Linked DNA regions of Rattus norvegicus. The protein of the gene in region 4 binds, or shares a complex with, the protein of the main gene of each other region. Links are inferred from orthologs where the notes say so. Each region holds a gene or a part of one and is shown on either strand. Other genes may lie near its edges.

The links.
Region 1: the proteins of Polr1c (region 4) and Polr1b are in contact, whole or in part, in a cryo-EM structure (PDB 7OBA), measured with the Homo sapiens proteins. The link is inferred for Rattus norvegicus from reciprocal best matches to the Homo sapiens genes POLR1C and POLR1B. Residues at the interface, in NP_976035.1 of Homo sapiens: Ala70, Asn74, Arg77, Arg78, Leu81, Ala82, Gln102, Asp103, Glu104, Ile105, His108, Leu112, Lys220, Asp221, His222, Ala223, Thr230, Ser232, Tyr233, Arg234, Leu235, Asp281, Thr282, Phe283, Ser284, Glu286, Arg289, Arg301; in NP_061887.2 of Homo sapiens: Arg713, Gln715, Lys761, Ala762, Glu765, Arg766, Gly767, His770, Tyr774, Gly816, Val848, Arg872, Pro874, Glu900, Asp901, Phe904, Glu906, Gly908, Lys967, Gly970, Tyr971, Asn972, Phe973, Tyr974, Arg978, Tyr980, Ser981, Gly982, Ile983, Ser984.
Region 2: Polr1c (region 4) and Taf1c share a complex: the UniProt entries of both Homo sapiens proteins name them as parts of the pol I pre-initiation complex. The link is inferred for Rattus norvegicus from reciprocal best matches to the Homo sapiens genes POLR1C and TAF1C.
Region 3: Polr1c (region 4) and Taf1a share a complex: the UniProt entries of both Homo sapiens proteins name them as parts of the pol I pre-initiation complex. The link is inferred for Rattus norvegicus from reciprocal best matches to the Homo sapiens genes POLR1C and TAF1A.
Region 5: Polr1c (region 4) and Polr1h share a complex: the UniProt entries of both Homo sapiens proteins name them as parts of the pol I pre-initiation complex. The link is inferred for Rattus norvegicus from reciprocal best matches to the Homo sapiens genes POLR1C and POLR1H.
Region 6: Polr1c (region 4) and Polr2k share a complex: the UniProt entries of both Homo sapiens proteins name them as parts of the pol I pre-initiation complex. The link is inferred for Rattus norvegicus from reciprocal best matches to the Homo sapiens genes POLR1C and POLR2K.

What each region holds. Positions count from the first base shown.
Region 1 is NC_086021.1:136,785,682-136,789,929, forward strand, and holds the start of Polr1b (DNA-directed RNA polymerase I subunit RPA2), read left to right. Parts: upstream 1-1,448; 5' UTR 1,449-1,508; coding exon 1,509-1,685; intron 1,686-3,365; coding exon 3,366-3,533; intron 3,534-3,989; coding exon 3,990-4,136; intron 4,137-4,248. UniProt on the Homo sapiens protein: Catalytic core component of RNA polymerase I (Pol I), a DNA-dependent RNA polymerase which synthesizes ribosomal RNA precursors using the four ribonucleoside triphosphates as substrates.
Region 2 is NC_086037.1:64,564,800-64,569,037, forward strand, and holds the start of Taf1c (TATA box-binding protein-associated factor, RNA polymerase I, subunit C), read right to left. Parts: upstream 2,801-4,238; 5' UTR 2,738-2,800; intron 1,981-2,737; 5' UTR 1,980-1,980; coding exon 1,842-1,979; exon of another isoform or gene 1,033-1,841; coding exon 951-1,032; intron 825-950; coding exon 727-824; exon of another isoform or gene 656-726; coding exon 566-655; intron 560-565; exon of another isoform or gene 492-559; coding exon 418-491; exon of another isoform or gene 345-417; intron 294-344; exon of another isoform or gene 34-293; intron 1-33. UniProt on the Homo sapiens protein: Component of the transcription factor SL1/TIF-IB complex, which is involved in the assembly of the PIC (pre-initiation complex) during RNA polymerase I-dependent transcription.
Region 3 is NC_086031.1:97,576,996-97,579,219, reverse strand, and holds the end of Taf1a (TATA box-binding protein-associated factor RNA polymerase I subunit A), read right to left. Parts: intron 1,283-2,224; coding exon 1,128-1,282; intron 672-1,127; coding exon 553-671; 3' UTR 501-552; downstream 1-500. UniProt on the Homo sapiens protein: Component of the transcription factor SL1/TIF-IB complex, which is involved in the assembly of the PIC (pre-initiation complex) during RNA polymerase I-dependent transcription.
Region 4 is NC_086027.1:22,232,055-22,236,117, forward strand, and holds the start of Polr1c (DNA-directed RNA polymerases I and III subunit RPAC1), read left to right. Parts: upstream 1-1,263; 5' UTR 1,264-1,319; coding exon 1,320-1,388; intron 1,389-1,482; coding exon 1,483-1,554; intron 1,555-3,265; coding exon 3,266-3,373; intron 3,374-3,598; coding exon 3,599-3,731; intron 3,732-4,063. Other genes in the region: protein YIPF3, read right to left, coding at 1-64, 205-402, 938-1,018. UniProt on the Homo sapiens protein: DNA-dependent RNA polymerase catalyzes the transcription of DNA into RNA using the four ribonucleoside triphosphates as substrates.
Region 5 is NC_086038.1:1,598,900-1,602,969, forward strand, and holds the start of Polr1h (DNA-directed RNA polymerase I subunit RPA12), read left to right. Parts: upstream 1-1,270; 5' UTR 1,271-1,371; exon of another isoform or gene 1,372-1,452; 5' UTR 1,453-1,464; coding exon 1,465-1,600; intron 1,601-1,829; coding exon 1,830-1,930; intron 1,931-2,094; coding exon 2,095-2,204; intron 2,205-4,070. UniProt on the Homo sapiens protein: Core component of RNA polymerase I (Pol I), a DNA-dependent RNA polymerase which synthesizes ribosomal RNA precursors using the four ribonucleoside triphosphates as substrates. Can mediate Pol I proofreading of the nascent RNA transcript.
Region 6 is NC_086025.1:69,239,963-69,244,032, reverse strand, and holds the start of Polr2k (DNA-directed RNA polymerases I, II, and III subunit RPABC4), read right to left. Parts: upstream 2,801-4,070; 5' UTR 2,718-2,800; intron 2,014-2,717; 5' UTR 2,005-2,013; coding exon 1,944-2,004; intron 1,607-1,943; coding exon 1,514-1,606; intron 1-1,513. UniProt on the Homo sapiens protein: DNA-dependent RNA polymerase catalyzes the transcription of DNA into RNA using the four ribonucleoside triphosphates as substrates.

The DNA.
Region 1 (4,248 bases), on a different chromosome or scaffold from region 4:
CACAAATATAAAAATTGATATTCGTAAAAGCCAAACAGTGGAAACAATACAAATTCTCACTGACACTATCCAACCCCCTTGATTTCTATCCAGAAGCAGGCTGGGGTTGCTTCTTTTCTTTTGGGTAGCATGGCCTGATTACTGCTGGCTGTCCTAGTGATCAACATTCAGAGTTGAGTAGAGTAGACCATAAGTGCACAGCCCACAGAATCAAATAACCAGGGCTCGTCGAGGTTCACAGAGACTGCATCGACAATCATGGAGCCTGTATGGGTCTGAGCTAGGTCCTCTGCATGTATTGATGTATAGCTTGGTATTCTTGGGGGACTTCTGACAGTGGGAGCAGGGGCCGTCTCTGACTCTCTTGCCTGCTCTTGGGATACTTTTCTTCTACTGATTTGCTTTGTCCAGACTTGATATGAGGGTTTGTGTCTAGGCTTATTGTAACTTGTTATGCCATTTTCAGTTGATATAACTGGAAGGCCTGCTCTTTTCTGAAGGGAAATGGAGGAGGAGTGGATTTAGAGGAGAACGGTGGTAGGGGGGAAGATTGGGAGGAGGGAATGGAGGGGAAACTGAGGCCAGAATGCAATGTATGCGAAAAAACTAAACTAAAAAAATAAAAAGAGTTGAGAAAGAGACAGAGCCATGGGTGGTGGCACATGCTTTTAACCCAGCACTCAGGCAGAGACAGATGGAGTGCCAGGCCAGCCTGGTCTACAAAGCAAGTTCTAGGACAGCCAGGAGTACATAGAGAGACCCTGACTCAAAAAACAAAGAAACAACAATAAATAAATAATTATTATTATAATAAACCAAGAGTTGAGTAGAGAGGACAGGTTGGTGCCCCAAATCTGCATTTCAGTAGAAGCCAAGACTTCAGAGTCTCCTAAAGTCTGCATCAGGATGTAAGAGGCAAGCTGTGAAAAGGGACAGAAGGGAACCGTTAAAGATACTTCTATCGGGTCCTAATTGACTAATTAAGCTAATATGGGTCACAGAGGTCACACACTAAAGTGGAAAGGGATTTAGTACGGTTTGTAGGATACAAAACATCGAAGTTTAGAGGAAGAGGCAGATCTGCCTGTCTATGTAGTGTTCTCTCTCTCCCTCCCTCCCTTCCCCCTCTCTCCCTCCCTCCCTCCCCCTCTCTCCCTCCCTCCCTCCCTCTCTCGGTGTTTCAAGACACCTCTGTGTTATTGCCCTAAGATGTCCTAGCACTCGCTTTTTAGACCAAACTGGTCTCGAATCCACAGAGATTCCCCTGCCTCCCGATTGCTGGAATTAAAGGTGTCTTGTGTGTAGTTTTAACAGGTCCAACCACGCCATGGTTTAAGTTTCCAGTCGACCGTGAGAAATGGAAGGACCAAAGGTGGGGCGGGCAGAACAAGAGGAACTACATTTCCCAGCAGGCCACGGGGTAGGGTGGCTGTAGGGTTGCTCCGGCCATTCCTGCGGTCCACGAGTGGAGTCGTAGCTCCGGTTTCCCGTCCGGGGCTCGCAGAAGCATGGATGTCGACAGCCGGTGGCGGAACCTGCCCAGCGGGCCCAGCCTAAAGCATTTAACCGACCCCTCGTACGCGGTTCCTCCGGAGCAGCAAAAGGCGGCGTTGCAGGACCTGACGCGGGCGCACGTGGACTCCTTCAACTACGCAGTGCTGGAGGGGCTGAGCCACGCGGTGCAGGTGAGTGGAGCGCACTCTCTGCTCCGGAGCCCGAACCCTCGGCCGGAGGGTCCCTGAGGTTGGAGGAGGTGGCCGGGAGGCCACAGTATGACCTCAAATAGTGATGCAAGCTCACCCTACAGTTCTTTGGGATAGTTCAGAGAGAAAACAACTTATAGCCTAGTGATGGAGGGAAACATGTATTTGTGATTTCTGGATTTATATGTGGGTACGAGCCCTGGTTTTGGGTACTGTGAAAGGAGAGTGAGGACGTGATCTATTTGAGACTGTTTTCCGCCCATTGACAGCGCTCACGCCTTTTCACACCTGGAGTCTTACGTTCTAAAACTACCTCAGAAGGTTCCAAGCTGATTCAGACAGGCTGCAGCAGAGCACATCCTTCAGTTTGCTTCCCTTAGAGTTTCCTTTGGGGGCCAGGAGAGCGGGAACGGTTCGAGACAGGGTTTCGGTAGCGTTTGCTGTCCAGGAACTCCGTAGACCAAGGCTGGCCTCGGACTCACAGACATCTGCCTGCCTCTGCCTTCAAGTACTGGGATTAAAGGTGTGTACCACCACCCAGCTTCTTTTAAGAATTTGCAAGAGGGCTGGAGAGATGGCTCAGTGGTTAAGAGCACTGATTGCTCTTCCAGAAGTCCTGAGTTCAAATCCCAGCAACCACATGGTGGCTCACAACCATCTGTATGAGATCTGATGCCCTCTTCTAGGGTGTCTGAAGACAGCTACAGTGTACTTATATATAATAAATAAATCTTTAAAAAAAAAAAGAATTTGCAAGAGAAAAACTTGCCACCTCTTCTGAGTTGGGCCTGTTGAGGAAGATTAAAAAAAAAAAAAAAAAGCCCAGGGGATCATTGTAACCATGGTAGCAGAGTTCAGGAAAGGACGATAAGGCAAGGTCTCTTTTTGTTAGCATCTGTAGTCCTGGCACTACGCTCTGAGAGTAAGACACCTCTCAGGTTTAAGTGTACCTCACCCTTGTTGGTTGTGTAGGGGTAGCAGGCACCTACAAGCAGTCAATGGCATTCTCTTGAGAACTGCTCTAAGATGTAGAGCTTTTTTAGTCAGGAGCACCATGGAAGTGCAACTATTCCAGGTGTTTAGAAAGGTCTACATTAGATAAGGTTAAGAGAAGAAGATGGTGCGTTCCCTCTGGAGGGAGTAGGTTCGGGGAGGGACATATGTAGTAGACGGTACCCTGAGGTTTTGTTGTCAAACAACTGTATTGTGAGAATTAGGGATGGAGAGATGTGGGAGAGCTTTGACTGTCTGACTGATACTTGGAAATACAGAAGCCATTTACAATTCTTTGAATTGCCAGGCTTCAGTCTGAGGGAATAAAATATACAGAGCTGAACATTTAGATCATCATGTACTTGCCGGTAAAAAAAGCAGTTCTCCTTGTCTTCCTATGCGCAGAGAAGGTGGACTCTTGGCTTAGCGTTTTCTGTGTCTGTAGCACCTACTGCAGAATCAGATACACAGCGCACCATTAAAAAAGCCCTTGGTAAACACATTATAATTAAAGAGTTGGCGAAGTAACCAGTTAGGTATAGCTTTAGTCCCTTTTAGATTTGCTGCGTGGTAGATGTCAGTGAGTGTAGACCATGGTGATTTCAGAGACTCTTAGTGAAGAGTGTGTTAAAAAATGTAAGTGACTTAGCAGGGTGAATTGTCTTTCAGGCCATACCTCCCTTCGAATTTGCTTTCAAAGATGAGCGCATATCTCTTACTATTGTGGACGCTGCCATCAGTCCACCCGCAGTGCCCAAAGGGACCATCTGCAAAGAGCTCAACATTTATCCAGCTGAGTGCCGTGGCCGGAGGAGCACGTACCGAGGGAAGCTGACGGTGAGCATCAGTGGTGGCAGGCAGCCGTCCCTGCACACTTGAGACTAGGGCTGGGGCCTAATAAGGTTATAGGAAAGGCCTGCTTCCTTAGCGTTGCCACTGAAATGATCGTGTCTTCCTCTAAAGGGATCGAGTGTCATCTGAAACATGAAGTCAGTACCTCCTTTTAATATATGAGATGTCTCAGTGGTTAGGAGCACTGCCTTTTCTTCTAGAGGACCAGGGTTTGGTTCCCGGCACCATGGAGGCTCACAGCTGCCAGGAACTCCAGTTCCAGCAGGTCTAAGCCCCTCTTCTGGCCTCCACTGGCACCAGACACACATCTGGTACACAGACGTACATGCAGGCAAAACATTCATATGCAAAATAAAAACAAATACATCTAAATTTTTATTTAAATATTTATTCTGTCATCTCAAGATAATTTCATTTTTTTTTTCTTTTACTTGCCTACAGGCTGATATCAGCTGGGCCGTGAATGGAGTCCCCAAAGGCATCATTAAACAATTTCTTGGCTATGTTCCCATCATGGTGAAGTCCAAGCTTTGCAACTTATACAACCTTCCTCCTCAAGTCCTCATTGAGCACCACGAGGAGGCAGAGGTGAGTGCAGGGATCTAGGCTGCAGGGCAGCAGCAGAGGCTGGGGTTGGAGGTGAGGAACAGGAAGCTGGACCACTGATACGGGTCTGTGCTGTGCCTGACTCTTACCACAG
Region 2 (4,238 bases), on a different chromosome or scaffold from region 4:
ACCTCTCTCTTAGCTGCCTAGAATACACCGTACCCTGTCCCTGAATATTTCTGTGCCTCCTAGCAAGTGGCTCACAGATGTCCCCAGTCAGGGCAACTGAGGTCTTTTGTAGGATTTGCAGTAGTTCAGACACTGACTCTTCCTTTGGAATAAGAAGCCATCGTATTGTTGCTTGAGTTAAGTCAGACAGAGGTAAGTGGGTGAGACGAGATTCTAAACACCTGGATGTAGCCGTGCCTCAGGTTCACCGACCCCCCTTTTCCCTTAAGCTGCTTGGAACTGGGAATTTTGTGAACTCATGGCTCACGACTGTGTGGGGCTGGAAAAGCCACTATGCTGAAAACCTGGTCAGTGTCCCAGCTCCTTCCACATCCCACCACAGGTCTGTCCGTGGCTGCTTTCTCACTGGCTACTTGCCCCCAGGGCTGGTGTCCACCGAGGTCCTGAAGCAGCCTCTTCACGCTGACTATGGTCACCTTTTTCGAGTAGCCCTGCAGGGAAGGCCTGTCAGGTTTGCACCCAGGGAGGTGGCTGACCATCCACCCAGCCAGTGGTGGCTCCTTACCCGGTTCCCCTCCAATCTGAAGTTCTCCAGCATGAGTTTCCCCAGGGGTGCAAAGGCTATATCCCCATGGTCCCACAGGAAGCGGCTGAGCTGTGGGGAATGGCTGTGTGAGTCAGCATAGCTCAGGCTGTGAGAAACAGTCCCACCCAGAGACCGTTTACCTGCTCAGTGACATCCAGCACAACTCGAGACTGGTACTGGTAGTAGTGACCTCCCCGGAAGAGGAAGTCCTGAGCTGCCAGACCAGGGTCCCAGGGATCTAAGGGGAGAAGGAAGTCAGAGAAGAACCTGAGAGGGAATAGGGAGGTATCTGCAATCTGGGATCCCCTTGTCCATGCGATGGCTAAGGTCCTTGGAGGGAGCCCAGAAGGAGAGAGACTCTTACCAGGGCCAGGAGGCACCAGGGGCAGGGGTCCTGGTGTCGATGGCTCCCACAGCAGGTTCTTGGCAAAGGACGATGTCTGGTCCTAGGGATACAGGGCAGCAATAACATGGCAAGTATGCGCTCCCTGCCCTTAACCAACTCAGTCGTCGTGACAAATCTAAAAAGCTAGTCACTGTGCTAATGTAGAACCCGAAGGGTGAGGCTGCTGTCACTTGCCCTAGGTGACAGTCAACTAAAAACAGGCATAGACTTGAACCCAGGCAACCAACTCCAGAGCCTGTATTCTAAACTCCATTCATAGCAGCTTTCAAAGGAAGCACCTATATCTTGACTGTCCCACCCAGAACGCAATGAGCTCCAATTTTCTCAGCCACTTCCTCTGAGTCCTGTCATTCAATGGGTTCCAAGTAGGTACCAACAAGTCTCCCTTGTCCCAAGGACCAAGAACTCCCCTCCCCCAATACCCTCTCTTTGACCTGCTCCCCTCTACGTACTCAATACAAGGCAGCTGAAGATGGCCTTCCCAAGAGCAGAAATCCTGTCCCCTTCCCCTGCCATTTCATGATCTAGTAGAGCCAAGGCCACACTACACAGGGTCTGCCCATCGGCGTACTGTCTCCCACCATAACTGGCAGTCCCTTGGGTGGGTTTGCCTGACCTCCTCATGGTGGGCTCTTGGGCCTGTAAGGACCCTAACACAGAGACACTGGCTAATAAACATTTGCTGAACCCAGGGAGAGGGAGCAAGGAAAGAGGAGCTACAGCCTCTATTGAGAGATTCTGTCTGGATAGTAGGGCGGCCGGTGCACAGCACTAGCATCTGCTGGGACCTCTTTCTCCGATAAGTGAATGAAGAAGAGACCAAGGAAAGGACCCCACTTCCATCCTCACCCTGCAGTTCTGTGGCTGGGCCCCTGGCAGGGTCAGTGCATCTCTCCAGCTGCACATGAAGGACAAGTCGGGGCCATCAGTCATGCCAAGAGGACCGGCCATAAACAACGAAGGACGCAGGGTGCTGGGGAAGTCCATCCTGGAGACAATGTATCTAACGTTACACAGGACTTCATTAAGAGTCTCAACAGTGCCCCAGGGCTCCCAGAGAGCACACAGTGCCCGCAGGGGAGACCACTACAAGACAGCAGGTAAAGACCAGAATCTGCAGCCTAACGCCAGAGCTGCTCACTCCCAATCACAAGGGAGTGCTCCCTTGGGGCAGCCAGGGAGATAGCTCTGTGCACACCTTGGAAGAGGGGCTGGGGAGAATGACCGGTGAGCGCAAGAGGTCCCGAGGCAGGTAAAATGCCAGAGATAGGCAACCGCTGAATATATGAACGGGAGAGTGAGAGGACCAAGTGGGATGTTAATGAGAGCTGAGCGGTCTTCAATCAGGCAGACTTTCTTCCACCCCTCTGTGGGCGTACCAGAGCTGCGTACTATTCCGGCTTTCCCGGCCAAATACAGGCTTCTCCCGAAATGCCCGTGGTCTGAGTTAAAGCAGGAACTCTCTTCAAGCGGTAACTGTCAAACAGTCCTCATTTTTAGTAAAAATTAAATCTTACATCCGACCGGCCGAGCTGCTGGACGAGATGTGATGGCTCTGAATTTAAGAGTCTAGGAACTGAAGACCCGTAATCTGCTCACAAGTTTTCCGGGACCGCCCTCCCTCATGGCAAACATCTAGGATAAGACTCAGCGCTGGAATCGGCCTGCTCGAGAGCCATGTGGCCTGCCACGTGCTCTCAGCATCCCCGCACGCGGGCCCTGCCGGTTCCCGGCAACAGTCTCACCTGATCCCGGGGACACAAATGAGCCGGACTGCCACTCCTCAACGCCGCCACCCACAACTACTGGAGCATTGCCACCCAGACTGAACTAGTTTCCGGGCCGGGCCGGAAATGCTCCAGTGAGACAGGAAGTCCCGCCCCAGCTCACCTCACTATGTCCTCCAGCGCCACCTTCAGAGCAGGCGGCGAATTGAACCGAGCTGTGAAATTCCCATCGTCCTGGTGTTGGACGATCCTGCCTCCACTTCATTAACTTCCTATCTTACAAGAGTGTTGGGAAGTTTAATTGATCCTCTCAACAAACAACTGAGCAGCACTGATGAGCCACTCACTGTATTTGTTGCCCACAAGTTCTAGAATCCTCTTCACAGACGCCTCTGGGTGCATGCATGGCTTAAACCGGGGAACGGGAATGAATATTAGGTTGTCCTCTTGGGGGATTTTTTCAAATTCACAGGCAGCAAGTCCTGGGCGCTGCCTGTAGGTTGCCTTGGCCCTGGCACTATGACATGAAACTTAGGATGTGTGGCTCTGCTGACCACTCGCTTCTACACACCTGGAGGCTAAGAATGTCTTCAGATAGAATCTTGAGACAAGGAACAGATCTGCTTCAATGTAACCTACCTACATGACATTCCCACCAATGTATTTGAAAGCTTCTTTGGGTTATGACTTCCCTTTGTTCTGTAATTATCAAGACTTCATAAATCGGTCTCCAAGGTGGAGCAGGTTACTCGGGGGGACCTGAATCTGTGTTCCTGAGTCTATGCATAAAGGATCTCTAAAGGAACAGAACTGATTGAGTATAGAATGGAGGTGATTCTATTAGACTGGCTTACAGGCTGTGATCGGGGTAATCTAATAATAGTTGTCTTATGACAGAAAAGGCAAGGAGAATTTGGTAATGTTCTGTCCATGAGGCTGTCTGTCTGAGCAGTTCTAGTCTGGTGCTGTAGTCTGTGAGGTCTGAATTGAACCTCTTCCAGGACCCCCTGAATGAGACCCACGGAGGCAGGTGACTGACGCAAAAGCAAGAGGGGTCTAATCATTCCGACATGTCAGGGTCATCCCACTTCAAGAGGAGACAACCCTAAGAGCAGACTCTAACGGAGTTATATACCTTGCAAACAACTGGGGCGGAATTTGGACAATGGTAACCAGGCAGGGTACTATGCTCATTTAGTGAAGCCAAACAACGTTCTTCTGATCGACTCTGTGTACCATTCAGTTGGGAGTCAGGTAACTTTGTGTGACGGTTTGGCTTGTAGCTGTTCCAGGACCTAAACCAGCTTTTTTCTTCTTCCTGGAAGGGAGGGGTCCTTGTGCTTGGAGGTTTGTGGTAGGAATTTTCCCACTGGCTCCAGATTGGTCCCTACTCGGGCTCTTTCACACCCCCCCTTTTCTTTTAGCATAGCTTCAATCTTGAAGCTTATAACCCTCTAGTTCATACTCTTGCTTCCCCGCTCCCAGCTGCACACAGTGTTGCTTTGAGGTCATAGTAACT
Region 3 (2,224 bases), on a different chromosome or scaffold from region 4:
TTCTCTTCCTATCCTCTCTATCCCCTCAACAGAGCCCATCAGTAGCTGTGGGGTGTGGAAGTGAAGCTGGCAGAGGAACAAATGGGAAGGAGGCCGAGTACCACAGCCTCCTGTGACTCCTAGAAGAGTCTGATCTACTGTACACAGTATAGCACCCAGTAGACCTGTGAGACAACACAGAGGACCCAGGGCCAAGGCAGTGGCTGCTTCTCCAGGTGACCAGCCCCTTCCCTACCGGCTCCTGGTCATACTTGTGCCAAGTCATGTAAACGTGTAGACATATATAAACACATACACAAATAAATAAATGAATGAATAAAAAACAAACAATCTGGGCATGGTACCCACAATCATCATCCCAGAGCTAAGAAGAATCCGGAGGACATCCTGGCCAGCCAGCCTAAGAGGTGAGCCCCAGCTCTCAGTGAGAGACCAGACTCAAAGCAAAGTCCTGCTGACTTCTAGCTTCCATATGAACATGTGCACACAGACACATAAAGTTAAAATACAAACCACTACACTGTAGTGACAACTGTAAAATAAGTTCAAGACCTAGGTGTGAACGCCTGGATTTACAATAGTATATTTTTTCACAGACTTCTTCATCCGCTTGATTTTCTTTTTCAAGGTTTCATGATCTTGTTTTAAAATATACCGAAAGTATCTACAACCTAAAAGATGAAACAAAATAAGAAAAGGTTTTAATATTTATCAAATTATTAAGAAGACTTCTACATTTAAATTTTTTCTTTAGTCCTGGAACACTAATGATTCTGAATGTAGATTGGTTTGTGTCACGTATACCAATGTAGGCATCCTGTACAAGCCTCCCCAGTGAAACCCCACCACTTCACAGGCAGGGCTCACCCTCCTCAGGTAAAGCAAGCGCTTCAACTCCACCCCTCTCCTAAGCCTCCTCACAGTGATGTGCACACTACACAGACTCACTTGTTAAAGGAGCCTTCTGAAAGCTAACTGACCCTAACTCAGCTCAGGGCTTGCACTCCCATTCCAGTCACTTCTGAGGCACCTAAACCCCTGGGCATCCCAAGGACAGGTGAACGAGGGCCCACTTTCTAGCCTCAGTTGGCCAAAAGCTACATCCAGATAAACAGAAAACAAACCACCTTTCCCTAAAAGGATTCCAGCTACAAAAGCCTTTTCACAAGCCAGCTCAGCGTCTGCCTTCCAGTCACTCTTTGCCCAAAAGAAGCTGAAGTGAAAGGCTGGCCACCAGTTTCTCCTGGACTTCCACTCTTCTTCAACCCACTCACGATGGCTTCTGAAAAGGAACAGGAGAAAAGGGAAGGTCAGGGAAGCACACAGCTGTGGTCGGAATCTGTACATGAGCAGTGTCTACAGAAGACAATTCCACACACGGTGGTTGCAGTGGCGTGGGGCCAGCCCATGCTCGCTCTTTTTGTGAGTGTCCCATTTCCACCCCTAGCCAACGTGCGGCCACAGAGTGATCAGCAGCAAGGATGCTGAACTAAAATGCAGGGCTGAGATCTCAGATCCTCCGTCTCTATTGCATGATCCCAAGCAAGCAGCTAACCGTTCTGAGCCTCAGTTTCTTGGACAGCGAAAATGGCTATTTCCTGGTGTTTTTGTTAGAAGAGAACTAGTCCAACAGTGCAGCAGATTCCATAAAGCTCCTCACACAGTGTCTGCTGCAGGGTAACTTAGCTACTACTGTAATCACTGAAAAGGCACTTTACATCCGAGATAAAATCATGTGCTACCGAAATGACTACCCCAGCTCCGATGCCAATGTTACACAAACACATGAGCTTGCAGCTGCACCAAGCAAACTAAGTGTCCCCCAACAACCTGCGTAAACGTGCGCTTGAGGTCTATGGCCCCCTGTGGTAGAACGTCTACATTCAGCACGTGAACGGTGCACTTCTTGACCTACAGGACCCGTGCTCCAGTAGGGATTTCAATGGCTCTCGATCTATTCAGTGATTGACACTGAACCCTAGCACATGTCGTGGTGTGGATGCACACATCAGATCATTACGATTAGGAGAGGTGCTCTTCTAGGCCTAGGGCACTAGGAGCGGAGTCTTTGAGACATTGTAAGCTAGAGCCCTGTGAGAGCCCGGATAGGACATCAGTTGTCCCTTTCAGCAGGGGAGCACAGCAGGAGGGCACTGGGAACCAAGAAATTGGGCTTCCCCAACACCAAATCTGCTGGCGGCTTCTCCTGGGACTTCTCAGCTAC
Region 4 (4,063 bases):
GGATGTCGATATTGGCATACAAACTGAAGGCCTTTGAAGCTTGTCTCTTCCCTGCCTGCCACATCTGAAAGGAGATGGGTATTATGAAAAACTCCTGGCTCTAGACGGTTACCCGGCCTCCGCTTGATTTCTGTGTATGTAGGTCTAAGTGGAAAAAGTGTATCAACCTAGGACACACACAGGTCTTCCTTTCCATTGGCTTACCTGATCTGCTACCTGCCGGCTCAGTTGTCCCTTAAAGCCTTTCATGCCGAGAAACTCCCCGTCCTCTTCTTCTGCAGCAGCTGCATCAGCATCTACCTCTTCCTCACGCAGGCGCTGATGTAGTTCACCCATGTCCTCGAAGCTGGAGCCTGAGGTATCGTCCATGTTCTCCATATCAATCACAGCCGAGCCCCCACCCTGTGAAGACAATGGCTCCTAGTGTGAGGGGCCCTTCCGTTGCATCCTTTGGTTCTCCCCTCATCTGACAGTTTGAGGCTTTGCTCTTCCACTGACGAGGATATGGCTTGGAACTGCTACCCACTGTGTTATACATAACCTTTCACTGCTGGCAACTCTTGGTGGCGACACTTGTAGTTCGCCCTCCCCCCCCCGCCCCTCCCAAAGCTCCAAAGAGTTGCAAAGAAGCCCATCTGCCTTTCCCAACTCTCAAACAAGCCTATTTTAGGAAGTGCCGAAATTCTATCCTGTAGTCCCATACTATGCCTGATCCAGGCAGATCCCCCAACCCGTCTGCAAAGCCCCGGGCAGGTACAGAGACTCGAACCTTAATCTAGCCCTTTCACGCCAGCACAAGCTCTACACACTTTCGCGTGGAAGACTGAAAGAGGACAGGCAGTGTGGCAATAGAGCCGACTTCCACGCCGCGAGAAAAAATAGCAACCACACTCGGCCGCCAGCCCGGGGAGTTGCTGGCAGCAAGAGCTCTCAATACCTGGATGTTTTCTTCGAAGCCTCCCCATTCCGGGCCAGCACCATTTCGGACGCCGCTGGCCGGCGCCGCCTGAGTCGCCATGTCCCTCGAGGCTTCCCGTCGCTGAAGCTAGCGCTCGTGGGAATAGTGTGAGACCTGGGCCCGAGGGAAGGAAAGGTTCAGAGGAGCGACTAGGCGAGGTAGGACCAGCCGGAACGCAAAAGTGAGAAACCCGGATGTTTGGCCCCAATTGACGTCCGGAAGTGAAGGACGTGGACAGAGGCGGGACAAGATATCGCGACAGTGAAGATTGCCGGAGACGGAACGTTGCCGCGGAGACGGAGGCGGGCCGCTAGCACGCACGCGCTAACTTGGAGCCTCCTCTCACGGCTGATGGTGGAAGATGGCGGCTGCTCAGGCGGTGGAGGAAATGCGGACTCGCGTGGTTCTGGGAGAGTTTGGGGTTCGCAATGTAAGAGATCGGACCGCGGGAGTGATGGGGGAGGCACGGGAGAGAGGAGGCCTGGTGTATGGCCTGGCCTCACTGCCCTTTCTGTTGGCTCTAGGTCCACACCACTGACTTTCCCGGTAACTACTCCGGTTATGATGATGCCTGGGACCAGGACCGGTTCGAGAAGGTGGGTAGGGCTGGAAGTGTCCAGACGGTTTGAGGGGCCAGACCTCACAGGTTGGGTTGGGGATCTCTGTTTTCATGAAACATGAAAACATGTTTCCCGATCCATGGACGGGCCGTCAGACACCGCTCCTGTTTGTGGAATAAATTGTTTGCTCTCGGTGGGGTAATGGGCCACAAACAAGTTATTTCAGTATAATAAAATAGCGATGAAGATGGCTGGGATGGGGTAGGAATCATTGATGCACTTAATCCAGCCAATTGAAGGGACGTAGTTAGGGAGTGACATTTGAATTAAGCTTTGAACTATGAATAAAAGTTGAGCGGTGAAGGCCTAATTCGAGTTTCATTATAAACGCTTGTATAAGGTTTGCTCTTAGTCAGCTGCAGCAGCTCATTTTTGTCAGAATGTAAGTCCACCAGCATGAGCAGTAGATAAGATTGGAATGCATTTTAGACTCTGTAGGTGATAGATTTTTATTTTTATGTCTTTTTGAAACAGGGTTCCATGGCTGCCCTGGCACCCCCTCTGTAGACCAGGCCGGACTCAAACTCAGATTGGTCCACCTGCCTCTGCCTCCCGTGCACAGGATTAAAGGCATGAGCCACCATGCCCCGTTAGAATTTTTCAGTAGACTGATAAAATTTTGCAGTCTTGATAGCTGGGAAGGAATGAATCTGGCGAATCTGCCAGCTAGTGTATGGAGGCTGAAATTGGGGGCATGGATGAACTGCAGATGGTGGTAATGGAGTGAGAGTAGTAACTAGCTGATGCAGACCATTGCTGTGGTGAGGGCAGTGTGAGAAAGGACCTTGTGGCTTGAGGAACGGATAACCTTTTCTTGGTATGTATGTTTGCCTGCATGTGTATTTGTGCACCACTGCTCCCAGCAGTGTGAGGAGGTCCCACTGGGTGCTGGGAACCAAATCCATTCTTCTGCAAGAGCAGTAAGTGCTCTTAACTGCCGAGTGGTTTCTCCAGCCACACTGGGGAACTGTGTTGCTGGCTGTGTCATTTGCTAAGCGGGAGGACCAGGGCGATGGCACAGTTGTTTGCGAAGTCTACCGGTCGAGTGGTGATGCTTGAAGTCAGACCAAGGTCAGGAGCTGCTATGCCCTTGCTTGAGTCAGCAGCATGAAGGTCACCCAGGGGATTTAGAACCTGGGAGAAAGTAACGTTTACTGGGTGGAAGAGAAAATTTAGATAAGGAAAAGTAGATATTAAAAAATGCAAGTATCAAATGGTTTAAATAGGTGGGAAGTTCTGCTTTTTGTACAGTAGCTTTGCTGGGTGGTCTGTGGACTATCTGAGAAGCCAGGCATAGTGGCACACACCTTTAATCCCAGCACTCAAGAAGCAGAGGCAGGGGGTTGGGGATTTAGCTCAGTGGTAGAGCACTTGCCTAGCAAGCGCAAGGCCCTGGGTTCGGTCCCCAGCTCCGAAAAAAAAGAAAAAAGAAGAAAGAAAAAAAGAAGCAGAGGCAGGTGGATCTTTGAGTTTGAGGCCAGCCTAGTCTACAGAGTGAGTTCTAGGACAGCCAGGGCTACAGAAAAACCCTGTCTTGAAAAACATAAACAAGGAACAGTACACTGCCCTCCCAGTGGGACTAGAGACAAAATGTCTACTGATGATCTTGGGGGATAGTGCCAGGGTAGACTGGGTTCACACAAGAGGAACAGGTTTCCCACCCACTGGGCTTTCTCTACCCCTCTAGAACTTCCGTGTGGACGTGGTGCATATGGACGAGAGCACACTGGAGTTCGACATGGTGGGGATTGATGCTGCCATTGCCAATGCCTTCCGGAGGATTCTGTTAGCTGAGGTATTAGAAGTCGCGGGCTGGAGTGTGGAAACTGTCACCCCATCTGTAGACTACCGGGCGGGTGGGGCGGTTTACACCTATAATATGAACACTTCAGAGGGCAGTCCGAACTACACAGTAAACCTTGTATCAAATCTGAAGGGCAAAACTAAGAAGGGCTGCCCCTCGTTTTTCCAGGTAGGGGATGGGTGGAGGTCAGGTAGATCATTTTGCTTCCTTGGGCAGGTGCCAACAATGGCTGTGGAAAAGGTTTTGGTGTATAACAACACATCCATCGTCCAGGATGAGATCCTTGCTCACCGCCTGGGGCTTATCCCCATTCTTGCTGATCCACGTCTCTTTGAATATCGGAACCCAGGTAAGGCTGAGAGGTTGAGATTATGAGTTAGGCAGAACTGTCCTGGAATCTGTCATGGGCTCAGATCCCAGGCCTAATTAACTGTGATCTTAGTTGGCTCTTGTACATGGGCCTTCGCCTGTGAGAACGTTCTCTTGCCCCTGCCTTTAATCCCTCACTCTTAGCACAGTGCCAGCAGCGCTCAGAGGCTCTTTCCACCTTTACATGGTTTCTAGGGATTGAAGTTGGGTCTGTAGGTTTAAGCAAGCATGCACCCTCTGAGGCTTCTTGTCAGCCCGTTACTAGAGCTAGTAGGGCCAGGCAGGCATGGTGGTGTACATCTTTACTCCCAA
Region 5 (4,070 bases), on a different chromosome or scaffold from region 4:
TTATACTGCTTGTGCAGTAAAGGCAGCGGTCAAACCACGGTGGATGTCTGAAGAATGTCCAACTTTAAAGGGAAAGTGGGGCTAATTTCTACTTTGAAAGAAGACACAGGTAAAATTTAGAGTTCAACCATCACAGTCTCGGCAACAGAGCTTTGCCAGTTTCACCCCTAAGTAAAACGACAGGGTCTGTCCTCCGGCATCTTGCTCAGGGGTTTTAACTACTTCTCCAGGGTTTAATCTCACAATAAGTGCACAGAAAGACAGATGAGGGTCTCTTCTATGAAAGAGTAGTTTATGTCCTTTAGAAAGTAGTTATGTGACTTAGCATGGTAATCAGGTTGGCTGCTGGAGGGCTGGGGACGCTGTCTTCAAGCTGGTCCTTCTTCAGTATACGTTTTCCTTACTTTGTACGCTTCTGGTGAATGAAACGACACGACTTTACATTTACTCTATTGTTCACTTACTGGATGGCAGGTATTTAAACACGGGTGAATGGGAGCTTAGGAGAGTGGAAGATGGTCTGCAAGTGAAAGCCAAGACCAATCTCCTAGTAAATCCAAAGAAGTGCTTTAATAACTAACCTCCCTCTCCCTCATCTGGCAAGTGCCTAGGGAGAGAAGAGCCCTAGTCACACCAGTTGCACCATCTTCAAATCCCTAAACTCCCTCTCACCCTCACCATTCCACACTCCTTACGAAGCTGACTCACTCAAGTGCTCAGAACTGCCCAAAGCTGACGCGAGGAAGCCGGTGTAGCCGAGAGACGAACGGCCAGGAGGGCCCAAAAGAATGCTTCTTAGCTTTGCTTTTGACTACTGAGCGGCTGCAAAAGGAAAACAAAACGGTCTCGGGAACCAGCAAAAGTTGCGGTTCTCTCAATCCAAGAGGTATCAGTTGCTCTGGAAAAATCAGTACAGTTTTAGGGGGACGCTCCCGCCCCCTTCCCCTGCTACGTGTAGGATTCCCTGCAAAAGCAAATAGTCCAGGATTAGTGCGGAGCAGGAAAATAGCGAGTGGCCTAGCACTAGCTACTCGCCTTAACTTGGTCGACGTCATAGTCCCAGACTGCGTGCCGCCGTATATTCCCTTCCGCCAGAGGTTCGGCTCCTTCCCTTAAGCGGCCTCGAGTACCTGCGCCATTAATTATGACGTCACGACCCAACGGCCACCAGGACCCGGAAGACGCTCTAGCCCGCCGGGCGCACTCGCTGCCTGGCGCCTTGGGATCGGACGCTCTAGCCCGCGGCTGGGATCTGTACTCTATCTCCCTTCCGCCTACCTCCTGCCGCACAAGGCTCCCCAGCAGCTGAGGCTCCAGGCTCCTAGCACTCCAAACTCTGCGGTCAGAGGATCCTGTGGGAGGAGGACTCAGGTAATTCCCGCTAGGGAAGCGGTGAGGAACCACCTTCAAGGCCAGACTCCTGCGCCTCAATAATAAACTCCTCTTTCCCAGCTCTCATCCGCCATGGAGCTGGCCCGCCCCTGCTCCAACTTTCAATCAGACTTGGATTTCTGCCCAGATTGTGGCTCCGTCCTGCCGCTGCCTGGAGTTCAGGATACTGTCATCTGCCCTCGTTGTGGCTTCTCCATCGATGTGCGAGGTGAGGGGCTGGTATGCTAGCTACGTCCACGATGGAGGTGACCTCAGCACTGGTTGGGCTTAGGGAGGTGAGACTCAGAACAGGAATCTGTTAGGGAGACATTGACCAAGGGAAGAAACTCAAAGGGAGGTCGTGACTCACCTGGGAGAGTGTTGCTGGGATTCGTTGCCTCTTTTGCTATTTCTACTGTTATTTTTTATTGGTTTGTTTATTTTTACTTCCTGTGCAGATTTTGGAGGGAAGGTTGTGAAGACCTCAGTAGTGTTCAACAAACTGGGGACTGTCATACCTATGTCTGTGGATGAGGGACCTGAATCCCAGGGACCAGTAGTAAGTTGATAAGGACTAGCTCCAAAAGAACAATGGAAAGGGGAATTGGGAGACCTGGTTTTGCACTCCATTCCGTGAGAATGTCCAAGGAGTGCAATAGTCTGATTTCTATGTGGAAGCAGAGACTATGATTAGAACTCCATAACCCTTCTGTTCCTTCCTAGGTTGACAGGCGCTGCTCCCGATGTGGTCACGAGGGAATGGCATACTACACCAGACAGATGCGCTCAGCTGATGAAGGACAGACTGTCTTCTATACCTGTATCAACTGCAAGTGAGACGATTACCCCTCCCATTGCCCCTTTTCAGTGCTTGCAAAACAACATTAATGACAGACTCATATTATTTCATTTGGTCCGGTTCATTAGAGGAGGGTTTGTAGCCCCTTTTTATTTTTATTATTTACTTGGCGTTTTTCAAGACTTAGAGCTCACCCAGGCTGGCTTTGAACTCTCAACCATACAGCCTAGGTTAACCTCAAGTTTCCTGCCTCTGTTTCCTGAGTGCTGAGATTCAAGCATGTGCCACTGCAGCTGGCTTGTTAAAAAGACTGTTTATCTTTTAAAGTTATGTGTAGGTGTTTATATCTGCATATTTGAACGTGCAGGTACCCACCAAGGCCAGAGACCTTGGGTCCCTGGAGCTGGAATTACAGGTAGCTCTGAGCCTTTGGATGTGGGTGCTGAGAACTGAACTTGGATCCTCTGCAGATCCTCCTAAGCGTTGAGCTATCTCACAGCCCCCCCAACACCCACCCCCTTACTGTTTTTACAGCTAGTTTTCTAAACCTATTAAGATGTATGAAAAGAGAGCTATGTGTGGTAATGTGTGCCTCAAAAGGAGGATCGTGGTTTCAAGGCCAGCCTGAGCTACACAGGCTGTCACCAAAGCAAAATGAAAACCAAAGCTTCTAGGAAAATTTAAAGCACAGGAAGTAGGCATTGTTCTGCACAGTTGGACAACATGCTGAAATTTTACACTGTGAAGGAGTGACTTGACATAATCTTGCATGATTCAAAGGACGTGGTCTGGATGGTTTGGAGCAGTCTTGTCTTGGTTGTTGTGTAGTTCTACATAATTGTGTGGCTTTCTGTGCTTTTGCTTTTTGTTGTTTTCCTTTCTCCTGGGGGTACCGCTTTAATTCTCGGCCTCAGGCATGTGAAAGAAGTGCTCTGCACTCAGTGGTGCCCCGAGCTCTCTTGTATTTGTTCTCTTTAGAATTGTAATTAATGTTTTTCTTCTTCTTAATCTTCTTATGCTGCTTCTACCTCTGAGATTCAAGGATTACAGGCGGGTCGGTGCCACCATAACTGTTCTGAGGATCCAACTCTGAGCTTTGGGAGAACTATATAAGCACTCTTACCAGCTCAACCACATACCAGTCCCTTAGGTTTCCCAAGCTGAGACTTGACTTACCTTTTGTCAGTCTGGAAATATATCAGCCATTATCCCATTCCAGTATTGCTTGTCCCCCATGTCCTCAAATTTCTTATTAGACTTTCACATCTCTCATCTTTGTATTTTCCATCCCATTTCTGTTTATAGAGTCTTCTGGGTAATTTCTCCAGATCTTTCTTACAGAGAGGTCAGAAAAAGATGTCAGATTTTTCTCTTCAGTTTGTATGTTTGTGGTGGGGAGAATGTTGTAGGTGTAGTGTATTTATGTGTTCATGTGGATGTATGCATGTATTTGTGCATGTGTATATTTGGTAGCCAGTGTTAGACACTGGGTATTTCTCTCTCTCTCTCTCTCTCTCTCTCTCTCTCTCTCTCTCTCTCTCTCTCTGTGTGTGTGTGTGTTTTGAGACAGGGTTTCATTATATTCTTGGCTAGCCTAGAAATCTTTGGAGACCAGACTGGCTTCAAACTTCCAGATACCAATCAGCCTCTGTCTCCAGAGCGTTGGAATTAATGTATGCCGCCACTTCCAGTTCTCCACATTATCTTACGAGGCAGAATCTCTGATCCTGGAGCTCAGACTAGGCCGGTTACCCAGTCAGTGCGTTTTGGACATTCATTTTCCCACTGTCCCATGTTTCCCAGATCTAGTAGAGCCCATTCTGTACATGTGGACTACCACACCCAGAATTTTCTTTACTTTTAAATGGATCCCAGGAATCCAAATTCAAGTTTTCATGTC
Region 6 (4,070 bases), on a different chromosome or scaffold from region 4:
AGAGTTTGTGTCCGTTACCATGAAACAATTTGTAGGCCTCACTATTTTCCACTGTTATTAATCTCTTCTTCCGTACTTTATATTGTTCATAAACTAATAACCAACAATGACTATTACTAAAAACAAAGATTTCCTGAAAAGTAAAAAAGACTTATCAACTAGTTTTTATATTACTGAAAGCCCATAATGAATGGTACATGAAAATGCTAATCACATTTACTTTATATAAAAACCTCTGCCAGGCCTTGGGAGTACATGTCTTTAATCCCGGATTTGGGGGGTAGAGGTGGTGGGCGGGGATAGGTGGATCTCTGAGTTTGAGGCCTGTCTTAGTCAGGGTTTCTGTTCCTGCACAAACATCATGACACAAAGCAGGTTGGGGAGGAAAGAGTTTATCCAGCTTACACAGTCACATTGCTGTTTCATCACCAAAGGAAGTCAGGACTGGAACTCGAGCAGGTCAGGAAGCAGGAGCTGATGCAGAGGCCATGGAGGGATGTTACTTACTGGCTTGCCTCCCGTGGCTTGCTCAGCTGGTTTTCTTATAGAACCCCAGGACCACCAGCCCAGGGATGGCACTACCCACAATGGGCTTGGTCCTCCCTCCTTGATCACTAGTTGAGAAGATGCCTTACAGCTGGGTCTCCCGAAGGCATTTCCACAACTGAGGCTCCTTTTCTGTGATAACTCCAGCCTGTGTCAAGTTGGCCTTCAAAACTAGCCAGTATAAGGCCACAGAGGTTTAGGAAGGCCAGTGATAACCTTAATAAATGAATTAAAAATGTATTTACTGGGTTTTAAAATTTGTTTTATTCAGGTTTATTTTATGCACAAGTGCTTTTGCCTGTATGCATGTATGTACCATTTGGGTCCCGCGCACTGGTAGGTCAGAGGTCGGCCTATCCGACCACCTGTGATTGTGAGCAATCATGTTGGTTCTAAGGCCCTCTGAAAAAGCAGCAATGCTCCTGCCTGCAGATCCAGCTCTCAGGCCCCTAGTTGGTCCTTTGAGACTGGGTCTCACTAAGTAGCTTTAGCTGGCCTGGAATCCTAAGTGTAGACCAGACTGGCCTGGAATTCACAAGGAGCTGCCTGTCTCTACCCCACAAGTTTTGGGAAAAATAAATCCTATTAAAATAATTAATCTGGGTATACCTCCTGTGGAGGCTCCACTCTTTCAGTTCTCAATAAGTCCACATGCACTCTGCTTAAAAAATAATCCAAAAGTTATTACTACTTTGATCAGATCTTAGTCTTTTTTTTTTTAAAGATTTATTTATTTCATGTATGTGAGTACACTGTCACTGTCTTCAGACACACCAGAAGGAATCAAATCCCATTACTAGGTGGTTGAGCCACCATGTGGTTGCTGGGACTTGAACTCAGGACCTCTGTAAGAGTGGTCAGTGCTCTTAACCACTGAGCCATCTCTCCAGCCCCAGATCTTAGTCTTTATCAACCCAAGTATTAGTTACTTCCTCTTCACATTTAAAAAGTATACTTAAAAGGATACATCTCTTAGTCCTTTTCTTGTACATTATTCTGTATCCACATTCTCTGCATCTGATTGGATCCCTGGATTTTATTTCATTTTCGGTGTGACACTCTGGGAAAGAAAGCACATTTATTCAAAGCCTGAAAGAGAAACACTCCAGGGAAGCAAACAGTAACAACATATTAAAAACAGGAGGAAACCAGGGCACCAAAACATCCAAGTACATTCTTATTACTGAACAGACCAAGGAGAAAGAAGAGCTGTAGGCAGTACACCTTTTCCAGATAAAAGGAAGAAATCTTAATAAGGTAGAGGGATTTTAAAATTAACAATCGCTAAAGTGCTCCACGTTATAATTTTAAAGATTTGTACTCATGTATGGAAGGATTCTTTTTAATGGGAGGGGGGGGCGTTCCTAAGTAAAGCATTATTTAAATGTTAATCTTACCTCCACAAATATATATCATTGGCTGCTGCTTTGGTGGTTGAACATCTTTCTGGGTGTCCATTGTTCGTGCCTGAAATGAGAGCCAAAGACTGAGTAACAGGGCCTTCGCACAAAACATGCCCCATTTGATTTATCTTTTTCTCAGAAGCTATACGAGGTTCTGATTTTCCGACCAAAGAGGAAAACCTCAGTAGAATGTTTGCCTAGTGTGCAGAAGCCCAAGAATCAATACCCAATATTACGGATGGGGAAATTAAAAAAAAAAAAAAAGTAATTATCTACTTCCCCTAAACAGTGATGTGGGCTGGGTCTGAAGGATACAGCACATTTTCAACAATAGTAAATACATTATGAATGTTTATTACTCTTCAGGATCCTAGAGGGTATTACACACGAAGAAACGGAGGCTAAGGACATGTTGGTTTGTCCAGTATCACTCCGCAAAGGAATTCCGATTTGAGCTGGGAGCAGTAGCTCCGTCAAAGCTTGTCTCAACATTAACTCCACCGGGGATCTTTATTTTCGCATTTGGTTCTTTAAGAAGGCTTTGAGAGTCTTCACTTTGTAATTCAGGTTAGCCGAGAACTCACTTTGTAGCCTTAGATTGAAAGTCAAGGTGCTTGTTGATGGCAGAATTCTCCTACCTCTGCTTCCCAAGCGCTCAGATGGCAGGCGTGTGCTACCGCTCTCGGTCGTCCAGGGATATTTTAAAGCCAGGTGTCTCTCCTAGTTTTGCCTCCAATTTACCTCCCAAATCACCCGCCGATCCCTTACCTCCGCAGCTCCGGAAAGCGTCCCTCCTCTGTGCACGCAAACGCTTTCTCCGGCTCTTAGAAGCAAGAGACACTACCGGCGCTGCTTCGCCAACTTCCGGCGCTGACTTATGACGCAAAAGCCCTGTCCCTTTCTGCCTGGCAGTACCGAAGAACTAGGGCGCTTGTTGGGGACTGGTTTATAGTGTTTCTCTCCTTAATTCCTGTAGGATTTTGTTTTGATTTGCCCCTCTCTCCAGGGTAGCAAAACATTCCCACAGCTCGGCGTTCGAGAGTCTGTGCTTGTGTAACGGCAGATAGAGCAGGAAGCCAAAACAGGTGCTGCTGGAATCTTAACCCAGCCATTGCTTGGGCGAACACCAGCAGGCCACCCTACCAACACTTCACTTCCCAATATCACGGTTTTCAAATTGTTCAATACCCATGCAGGTTTTTGTTTGTTTGTTGTTTTCAAATTCCAGTTTTCTTAGTTTCTTGTCACCTCTCTTCTATTTTATGTTGGGGAATGGAATGATAGGGGAAGCCCGAGGCTTGATAGTCTATGTAGCCCAGGCTGAGCTTGCTCTTAAACCGGCGCAGTTCTCTACCTTCGCCGCCTCAATGCTGAAATTAATTGCGCAAATCACAACGCCTGCCCATCTTCCTTTTTGAAGCCAAGGTTTTCACAACTAAGGTTTTCACAAGGACAACTCCATCAATTACTTCCACTAGTTGGTGGCTTTAGCTTTTCTCGTAGTATTCTCCCTCTTGTGTTTGATCAATTCAATAGAGTACAGGTGGTATGTGTTCTCACAGATCAAACTTTTAACTCAGTAAAAATCTGTTGGGTTCAGGACGTTTACACTCAATTATTTCACACCATTTATTTTAAAAATAGAGTGGACAAACTAATAGAAGAAAAACTAGGGAAGCATCTGGAACACATGGGCACTGGAAAAAATTTCCTGAACAAAACACCAATGGCTTATGCTCTAAGATCAAGAATCGACAAATGGGATCTCATAAAACTGCAAAGCTTCTGTAAGGCAAAGGACACTGTGGTTAGGACAAAACGGCAACCAACAGATTGGGAAAAGATCTTTACCAATCCTACAACAGATAGAGGCCTTATATCCAAAATATACAAAGAACTCAAGAAGTTAGACTGCAGGGAAACAAATAACCCTATTTAAAAATGGGGTTCAGAGCTAAACAAAGAATTCACAGCTGAGGAATGCCGAATGGTTGAGAAACACCTAAAGAAATGTTCAACATCTTTAGTCATAAGGGAAATGCAAATCAAAACAACCCTGAGATTTCACCTCACACCAGTGAGAATGGCTAAGATCAAAAACTCAGGTGACAGCAGATGCTG